Linked DNA regions of Sus scrofa. The protein of the gene in region 2 purifies or fractionates together with the protein of the main gene of each other region. This does not show direct contact. Links are inferred from orthologs where the notes say so. Each region holds a gene or a part of one and is shown on either strand. Other genes may lie near its edges. The genes, in order: YIPF3 and SLC22A5.

Region 1 (4,453 bases), on a different chromosome or scaffold from region 2:
GGCCCACTCTCTGCCCTAGAGCCCCCCACTCCCTTCCAGACATGCTGCCCCCTATTCACCTGAGGGAAGTTGACCATCTTGATGGGGATCATGGACTCCAGGAGCCTGGGAAGGGAGAGGAGAGATGAGAGCAGAGGCAGTACTAGGCTATGAGATTCTGGACAACCTGAATCTCAATCATCTCTCTAAATGAAGAGAACACACTGGATGGTAAAGGGAAAAGACGGTAATGAAGACAGAAAACGCTTCCAGGAAGAACAGCCCTCTGATGCTGTGCTGACTGACGCAGCAGTGGCACAGAGACTCGAGAGCCCCGCTGGGTCTTGGAGGGCATGGCCACTTACCTGTGTGACCTGCACTCCTTTAGTTTTTATTTACTTATTTATTTATTGCTTTTTAGGGCTGCACCCACGGCCCATGGAGGTTCCCAGGCTAGGGGTCTAACTGGAGCTGTAGCTGCCAGCCTACATCACAGCCACAGCCATGCCAGATCTGAGCCACATCTGCGACCTACACCACAGCTCATGGCAACACAGGATCCTTAACCCACGGAGCGAGGCCAGGGATTGAACGCGAAATCTCATGGTTCCCAGCCGGATTCGTTTCCGCTGTGCCACAACGGGAACTCCTGCACTCCTTTAAAAGACATGCAGACCTCAGCAGAGAATGCCCCAAGAGAATGTGATGGTGACAGGTTTAGCAGGAAAGTTGTTACTTGAGGGAACCAGCGTGCCTCCTGCCTCTTCCTTCTTACCATTCCTCTAGGCCCCACTGAGCATTTTCTTGAAAAATGTACTTGAAGTAATATGAACATTGCAGGTAGAAGGAATAAAAGTACCAATCACTTCTCCACTTCTTAAGTGACTGGCTCCTAATAATACCTTGGATCTTGGCTAGATTTTTACTTTCTCTTCAAAAGCTGCCCTGTCCCACCCTCCAGCCAACCCCTCATCAGGTGTCCCTCCTACATGGCAAATGAGTGCTCCACGGCTGTGCCCGAGGATAAGGTTCCCATTTGTCGTCACCACTAAATCAGACACAACTGTAGGATCTGACACAGAGCAAAAGCTTAGTAAATACTTGTAGAGTGGTACTGGGTGTTTGATAAGCATTAGCTGAATTAAAGGATGAACAAAGAATCAAAGCAAGATTAAATCTGGTTTTTGAAACATAACTTGACAACAATGTACCAATGGTCTGGTTCAGAGACTATTTTAGTGCTGGGAATAAAAAGACAAGGAGGAGTTCCCACTGTGGTGCAACTCGATCGGTGGCAGCTCTGGAGCACTGGTTCAACCGCCCAGCCCGGAAGAATGGGTTAAGGATCCAGCATTGCCACAACTGCAGCATAGGTTGAAACTGCAGCTGGGATCTGATCCCTGGCTGGGGAACTCCACATGCTGTGGGGTGGCGACAAAAAGAAAGAAAAAAGATAAAACAGAGCCTGCTTTTTGAGGAGGTCTCTGGGGAGACAGACCCAGGAATGACAAAGTACAGCATCGCTGAAGTGCTGTCTGCTAAAGGAAAGCAAAGCCCTAGTGGAGCATCAGGAAAGGAAAGGATAAACTTGGAACAGGGAGCAAAGGAAGTGACATTTGAGCTAGGTTTTGAGGAAAGATGAGAAGTTTGCTAGATGGAGAAGAGGAGGAAGGTGTGTTCTCGCCAAGCCCTGTTCTGTGACTGGAATCATGAAGAGGGGATTCTAAGGGCTTGGAGTCTGCTTGTAGAGTGGATGAAGGGCTAGATGTCAGGAAGGCAGCTTCGGTCAGGAGGATCCTCACCTGCTTCGCACCTGTGCAGGCTCCACATCAAAGTAGGGTCTCAGGATGTCGATGTTGGCGTACAAGCTGAAGGCCCTAGAGGCTTGTCTCTTCCCCGCCTGCCACATCTGAAGCAAGGAAGACCGGGTGGGGTGGGAGGGTATCGTGAGACTCTTGGCTTTAAGGCCCTTTTGCTTATTTCTTGTTGGATCTCTACATGGTTCTAACTGGACAAGCTGGGGTGAACTTCACTAATACCAACTCAGAACCAGAGGCCTCAGGATACTTTTCCACCTGTCAGAGAGCCAGTCTTGCTTACCTGATCAGCCACCTGCCGGCTCAGCTGTCCCTTAAAGCCCTTCATGCCCAGAAACTCCCCATCCTCTTCTTCAGCGGCAGCTGCATCAGCATCCACTTCTTCCTCACGCAGGCGCTGATGCAGCTCACCCATATCCTCGAAGCTGGAACCTGAAGTATCATCCATGTTCTCCATGTCAATCACAGCTGAGCCCCCACCCTGTGAAGACAACGGATCCCACAGTGGAGGACCTTTCTGCTCCATCCGTTATGTCCTTCTCTGTTCACCGGAGAGCTTGGAGCTTTGTCCTTTCACTGCTGGAGATACGGCTTAGAATTACCATAGACCATGCCACTCCCCTCCCCTCAACTGCTCTCAGAACCTTTGTTTGGCTCTCTTTTCCAGCCTGGGAAACCTACTCCCTGTCTTCCATACGTGTCCTTTTCCTACCAAAGCCACAAAAGGCTGCAAAAGTGCCCATTTCCTTTGTGTTTTCCACCCCAAAACAAGGCTGCGCGCACAGTGTGGTTTTGGCCAGTGAATCCCGCCTACCCCCCATCCCACCCTCGCCCCTGGCCGTGCCCGACCTTCTAAGTTGTGCGGAAAGCAAGAGCAAGGGGGCTCAGAGGTACTAGTGTGGACCTTTTAGGTCCGCACTAGTTCCACTGCCTTTCACGTGCACGAAGACCCAAAGAAGACAAAAAGTTCTGCAAACGGAGCAGACTTCCAAGGCTCGAAGGAAGAGTCCCCATGACACTTCAGGACAGCTGCAGGCCGTGGGGCTGCTGGCAGCCGGAGCCGTGGGGCGCTTACCTGGATGTTTTCATCGAATCCTCCCCATTCCGGGCCAGCCCCATTTCGGGCGCCGCCGGCCGGCGCCGCCGGAGTTGCCATGTCCCTCGAGGGCTCCCGTCGCTGAAGCCCGCGCTAGTCCCGCGCGCTGAGGAGGAGTGGGAGAGATGAGGGCCTGACGGATGGACAGGTCCAGGGACTAGAAAGAAAGGTGGGATCGGCCGGAACGCAAAAAGGAGAAAACCGGATGTTTGGTTAAAACTGACTTCCGGTATCTGAGGACGTGGACGGAGGCGGGGCAGATTCTCGCGATATTTAGGATTCCGGGAGGTGGTGTGTTGCCACGGAGACGGGGCAGGGAGACTAGAACGCACGCGCAGGCTTGGTACTCTAGTCACATGGTGGAGTTGAAGATGGCGGCGGCTCAGGCTGTGGAGGAAATGCGGAGCCGCGTGGTTCTAGGGGAGTTCGGGGTTCGCAATGTAAGTCTTGTGGACTTGACCTCGGGAGGAGAAATCAGAGCGGAGCAGGGATGAGTTAGAGTCGGAGTGGGGATGAATTTGGCCTCGCTGCTCCTTCGCGAACAGGTTCGTTTCTCTTTGCTCTAGGTTCATACTACCGATTTTCCCGGTAACTATTCGGGCTATGATGATGCCTGGGACCAGGACCGCTTCGAGAAGGTGGGTAGAGCTGGAGGTGTTCAGAGAGGGTATGAGGATCGGATCTTGCACTCTGAACATCCTGTTCCTCGGAAACTGCCTTGGGGGTTCGCTCTGGATGTGTTAGGCACTCGATGTGCACAATTTCTGCTTTGTTCTACAAGCTAACGAGATGGTTCGGTCTTTTTGGAAAAGAGTACAGGTAACACGACTCTAGTGAGTTGTGGTAAGGGCGATTAACAGCAATAAAGATTGAAGCTGCACTCCCTTTCGGGTGGGACTCGAACTCAGCCAAAACCCCCATTGGAACTTGAACCCATGGTCCCTGACGTAGGAGGGGACTCAAACCCACTGTCTTAATTGATACCGCTCACCTGCTATCGTCAGGACTTCCTGAGCCTCAGGTTTTGTCTCGTGGGAAAAAGAATTCAGCGTGAGGCAAACCGATACACAATAAGTGAATTTATTAGCATAGGACGCTTGTCAGAAATACTAATGAGCAGGCAAGGGAGTGCGACCCAGAGAACAAAGAGGGCTACATTTTTATAATCAAGGTGAAAGTGGGGCGGGGAGAAGACCACCTTATTTCTCATTCTTGGGTAAGATGGTCCAGGCTTGCATCATCAGTTCCTCCTTTGACCCTATATGGTCTAAGGGGGAGTGTCATGGGCTGTTTAAATCATAGGTATATTAGCAGAAGCGGTAACATATGCGAAAATGTGGTAATTCGTTTCAGGTTGCAGAATAATTTCCCCTTTCACCTAGTTTTTTCCCTCTTTCACCTTGTCTACATGCAGCAATGCCAGTCTTCAAGGACCAATAACTCTGACTTCATGTAACAAGATTGAAACCCCATATCTCTTGTCTTGGGTTTTAACTATCAGGACTTGTGGCTTGTTTCTGGTGCTTAGATACACCTGGTCTTCCTTCAAGGTGGTGTAGAT
Region 2 (3,807 bases):
ACCGTCTTCAACCATCCCAGAGGGAGGATGTCCTGTCTCCACATTTTCAGAATGTATTTAGCATCCTCTGTAATCGAAAGGACATGGTGTCTTCACTTAGAACTTCTAAAAGGCCTCAGCTGTCCTCCTCGGTCAATGTCTGATGCACAGGTGACTGGAACAACTAAACTAAGACCCAAAGTGAGCAATGACTTGCCTTATGACCCGAAGGGATCCCCAGAGATCCCATATCTCCCCCCAAGCCCCCACAACAGTTTCATTCTCCTCTTCCGAGATTAAGAACTTGGACATGCCCATTTCTTTTCATCGCAAGACACATCCCCGATGATACAGGCTTTGAATTCTGGTCTAAGACGCGTCTGTAAATGCAGGGCCTGACGGCCACGGCCAGCACCTTGTCTGGACGCAGGTAGGGCTCACTCACGCACCACAGAATTATGGACATGATGGTGACCATCCGGATATTCCGGGTTCGGAGCAGATCCAGAATGCTGTGGGACTGCTGCTTCTTGGAGCTCAGGTCTTGTAGCTGCAGGAACAACATGACAAGGGTATGGGAGGGAGAGAAGGTTGGAGACTCAGAGACGCGAGAACATACTTGAAACCCTCGCATCTTAGCCTTGCACATCTCTGGGTTGGGGAATGTTTTATGCGTCTTGCTGGATAAGAAGAGGACTATAGTGACTGTATCTTGGGCTGCAGAAGGCTCCCCAGGCCTTGTCGATAACAAATTAGTGAACAAGAGTGAGGAGGAAGAGGAGGCGACCAGTCCCTGAGGTGATGAGGCAGCGGAGGAGGAGGCCCCAGCTGACTGCGCCTTCCCGGCACCACCCCCAGCCCAGTCAATGGCCACATTCCAGGGAGGCCGCTGAGCATTCCTCCCCGAGGCTGGCTCCCAGCCTTCTGGGTCATAGAAAGAAACTGGCTGTGTAGTTTATGGATAGGATATTTTAAAAGAATTAATGTTTTCAGTCCTCATACCATGAAGTTATGGACTACTTCCAGGGAAAAAATTTTTTCAGATAGAAAAACAGGAAAATTGACCTCAGCTTCACCCAGAGTAACTTCCTATGAAATTTGGCACAGCCAAGGACATTAATAAACCACACGTCTAAACACACTGAGGTTGCTTTCTTAAGCAAACCCAGCTTTGGAGTTTGTTTTTTCCCAAGTCCGTGGTTCAACAAAAGGTCAACTTTTGACTTAACAGATCCCCTGAAATAGCCCCATTTCCACAAAGATGCCAGTGGGACTTACGGGTTCACACAGACTGACCCCTGCAGAGCTACGGAGGCTAGCTCCCTTAAAAGCCCTCCCTGCATAGACCCCTCCCCTCTGTGCACCAGGGCCCTTTCTAGGACATGCTAAGTGGGACTGGTGCTGGATCACCACTTAACTGAGAGGCTGGCAGGGCTGCCAAGTGGCCAGCAGCTTCTTTGCTGCCCATAATAACTGGTCTCCCTTTCCCAAGCCCCAGGTCTGCATCTAGAGCCTGACATGCTAACACGCCTTTGCACATTGCAGCATGACTGCTGGTGGCTGTTCTCACAGCCAGCCCCTTGTCTTCGCATCAGAACAGAGATACACTCCAGAACCCCATCGGCCAGCCATGACAACTTCTACCCTTCAGGAGATGAGGAAAACTGCTTGCTGCAGAGAGGGTGGAAAGAAAGGGAACAGGAAGGAGACGCAAGACCCAGGAGTCAGGCAGAGCCAGGAAATTACTCCTGGCCTGTGGGAACAGGGTTCACAGGGAGGGTGGGGCGGGGGAGGGCGAGTATCCAAAAGGACCAGGCTCCAAGACAACACTCAACAACTCCCTGTTGGTGGCAGGAAAGGGACAGGACATGTCTAACTCTAAATCTACTTATGCTTCACAGTTCAGGTACTGCAAGATTTTTCTTAAGATGAGGGACTACCTAAGGTGTAAGAGACAACAATTTTCCCAAATACCAACTTCACAAGAGGCCTATTACTCATAAAGAGTTTTTCTTATTAAATGTAATAGGAGTTTCTGTTATGGTAACGAACCCGACTAGTATCCATGAGGACGCCGGTTCGATCCCTGGCTTTGCTCAGTGGGTTAAGGATCCGGCATTGCTGAGAGCTGTGGTGTAGGTCCCAGACACAACTAGGGCTCTGCCTTGCTATGCCTGTGGTGTAGGCCAGCAGCTGTAGCTCCAATTTGACCCCTAGTCTGGGAACCTCCATATGATACAGGTGAGGCCCTAAAAAGACTAAATAAGTAAATAAAGTATTTAAAGGTAATGGTTCAACTGAAAAGAATTATATAAAGTATGAAAACCTAAAATCCATGGAAAAGGTGAAGGGATTTAGGCAGTTAGCACCTTCCTCTCAACCTCTGAGTTTTTAAAATTCATTGTTCAAAAATTTTTATTAGCGTACAGTTGATTTACAGTGTTGTATTGATTTCTGCTGTACAGCAAAGTGACACAGTACCATATCTATCTATCTACTTATCTATATTCTTTTTCTCATATTTTCTTCCATCACGGTCCATCCCAAGAGAGTGGATATAGTTCCCTGTGCTGTATAGTAATATCTCATTGCTTATCCATTTTAAATATAACAGTTAGAATCTCCTAAACCCAATCAATTTCTGAATTTTAACAGGGCCTGCCTTGGGGGCAGCTGTCACTCAGGCAGAGAGGGCTGGGCTGCTGCGTGAAAGGGGGGCTTTGGGGCTCTGGGTGCGACCCTAAAATCATGGTCACCAAGACCCTCCCGCCAGCTCTCACACAGTGCTCACCTCGCTTGAGTCAAAGATGGTGGAGGGCGCAACGATCCCATTGAGTCCAGCAGCCTTGCGGATGATCACCTCAGCTTCCTGAAATCGTCCCTGAGAGATGAGCCATCGGGGGGACTCAGGAATGAACCTGGAAGTGCAAGGAGCAATCTGACTGAGGCCTTCCTGCCTAACGGACCAGTGTAGCACAAGTGGAAGCGGGAAATGGGGTTTCGGAACCAGAACTGGGTTTGGGGAATGTTCGATGTTTCCAAGACAGAAGCTAAGAGATGTACCCTACTACACCCAGGAATGACCTGAAGTGTGAGCTTCGGATACACGGGAGATCACAAAATTTCAAGGGGCCAGCACACCAGGATGGGAATTCCTCCCCTGGCTAGCCACCTCCATTTCTGAGGAGTGGTGGTGCCACCTGCTGGACACTAGGTAGACAGGCACGAAACGGGCTCCTGAAGCCTGCCTTCAGCCACCGGCGCAGCCCAGCCCAGATCTTTACCTTGCTGTTCTCCTCTGCTTGTTCCAGGCAGTGCAGTGTTTCTGCACTGCCCTCTTAGCCTCTAGCTTTTCCTTAGCACTCCTCTATCCCAACCCCTGACTCAGTGAGCTGACTCTGCAAGGCATGTGGGTGCTTTGAGACTTTGCGGACCTTATTTTCTACCTCACCAGGTAGCCGCTGCTCTTAGGCCATGATTGCGACTCATCGGTATCTACCTTCTCCCTCTACGCTTGGCCATGTCATGCTCTCATGTCCATGTGGACCAGTGATCTCATCATCCCTACCCCAGTCCCTCAGCTGTATTCTCTCTCTTGATATGTACTGCCCTTCCCTCTGCCTGTCCTCTATCTTGGAGGCTCATTCAGCTACCTGGCTTCCTTCATTCAGCTACCCTGAGGACTCTCACTTACAGTGTGCTCCCTCTTCACCCAGTGCCTACGACATGAGGCCATGGCAACGCACAACCAGAGCCAGGGCTTAAGCTGTCTTGTCCTGCAGTCTGACAGCTTCCTGGAGGTCACACTAGACCCCACTGTCTCACAGC

What was found.
Region 1: the proteins of SLC22A5 (region 2) and YIPF3 purify together in Homo sapiens (co-immunoprecipitation; 3 studies listed by BioGRID and IntAct, counting the BioPlex papers as one, with this or other methods). This does not show direct contact. The link is inferred for Sus scrofa from reciprocal best matches to the Homo sapiens genes SLC22A5 and YIPF3.

Annotation. Positions count from the first base shown.
Region 1 is NC_010449.5:38,508,337-38,512,789, forward strand, and holds the start of YIPF3 (protein YIPF3), read right to left. Parts: upstream 3,098-4,453; 5' UTR 2,953-3,097; coding exon 2,872-2,952; intron 2,376-2,871; exon of another isoform or gene 2,323-2,375; coding exon of another isoform or gene 2,278-2,322; coding exon 2,080-2,277; intron 1,889-2,079; coding exon 1,782-1,888; intron 106-1,781; coding exon 60-105; intron 1-59. Other genes in the region: POLR1C (DNA-directed RNA polymerases I and III subunit RPAC1), read left to right, coding at 3,249-3,332, 3,459-3,530. UniProt on the Homo sapiens protein: Involved in the maintenance of the Golgi structure. May play a role in hematopoiesis.
Region 2 is NC_010444.4:134,677,581-134,681,387, reverse strand, and holds part of SLC22A5 (solute carrier family 22 member 5), read right to left. Parts: intron 2,898-3,807; coding exon 2,771-2,897; intron 530-2,770; coding exon 429-529; intron 1-428. UniProt on the Homo sapiens protein: Sodium-ion dependent, high affinity carnitine transporter. Involved in the active cellular uptake of carnitine. Transports one sodium ion with one molecule of carnitine.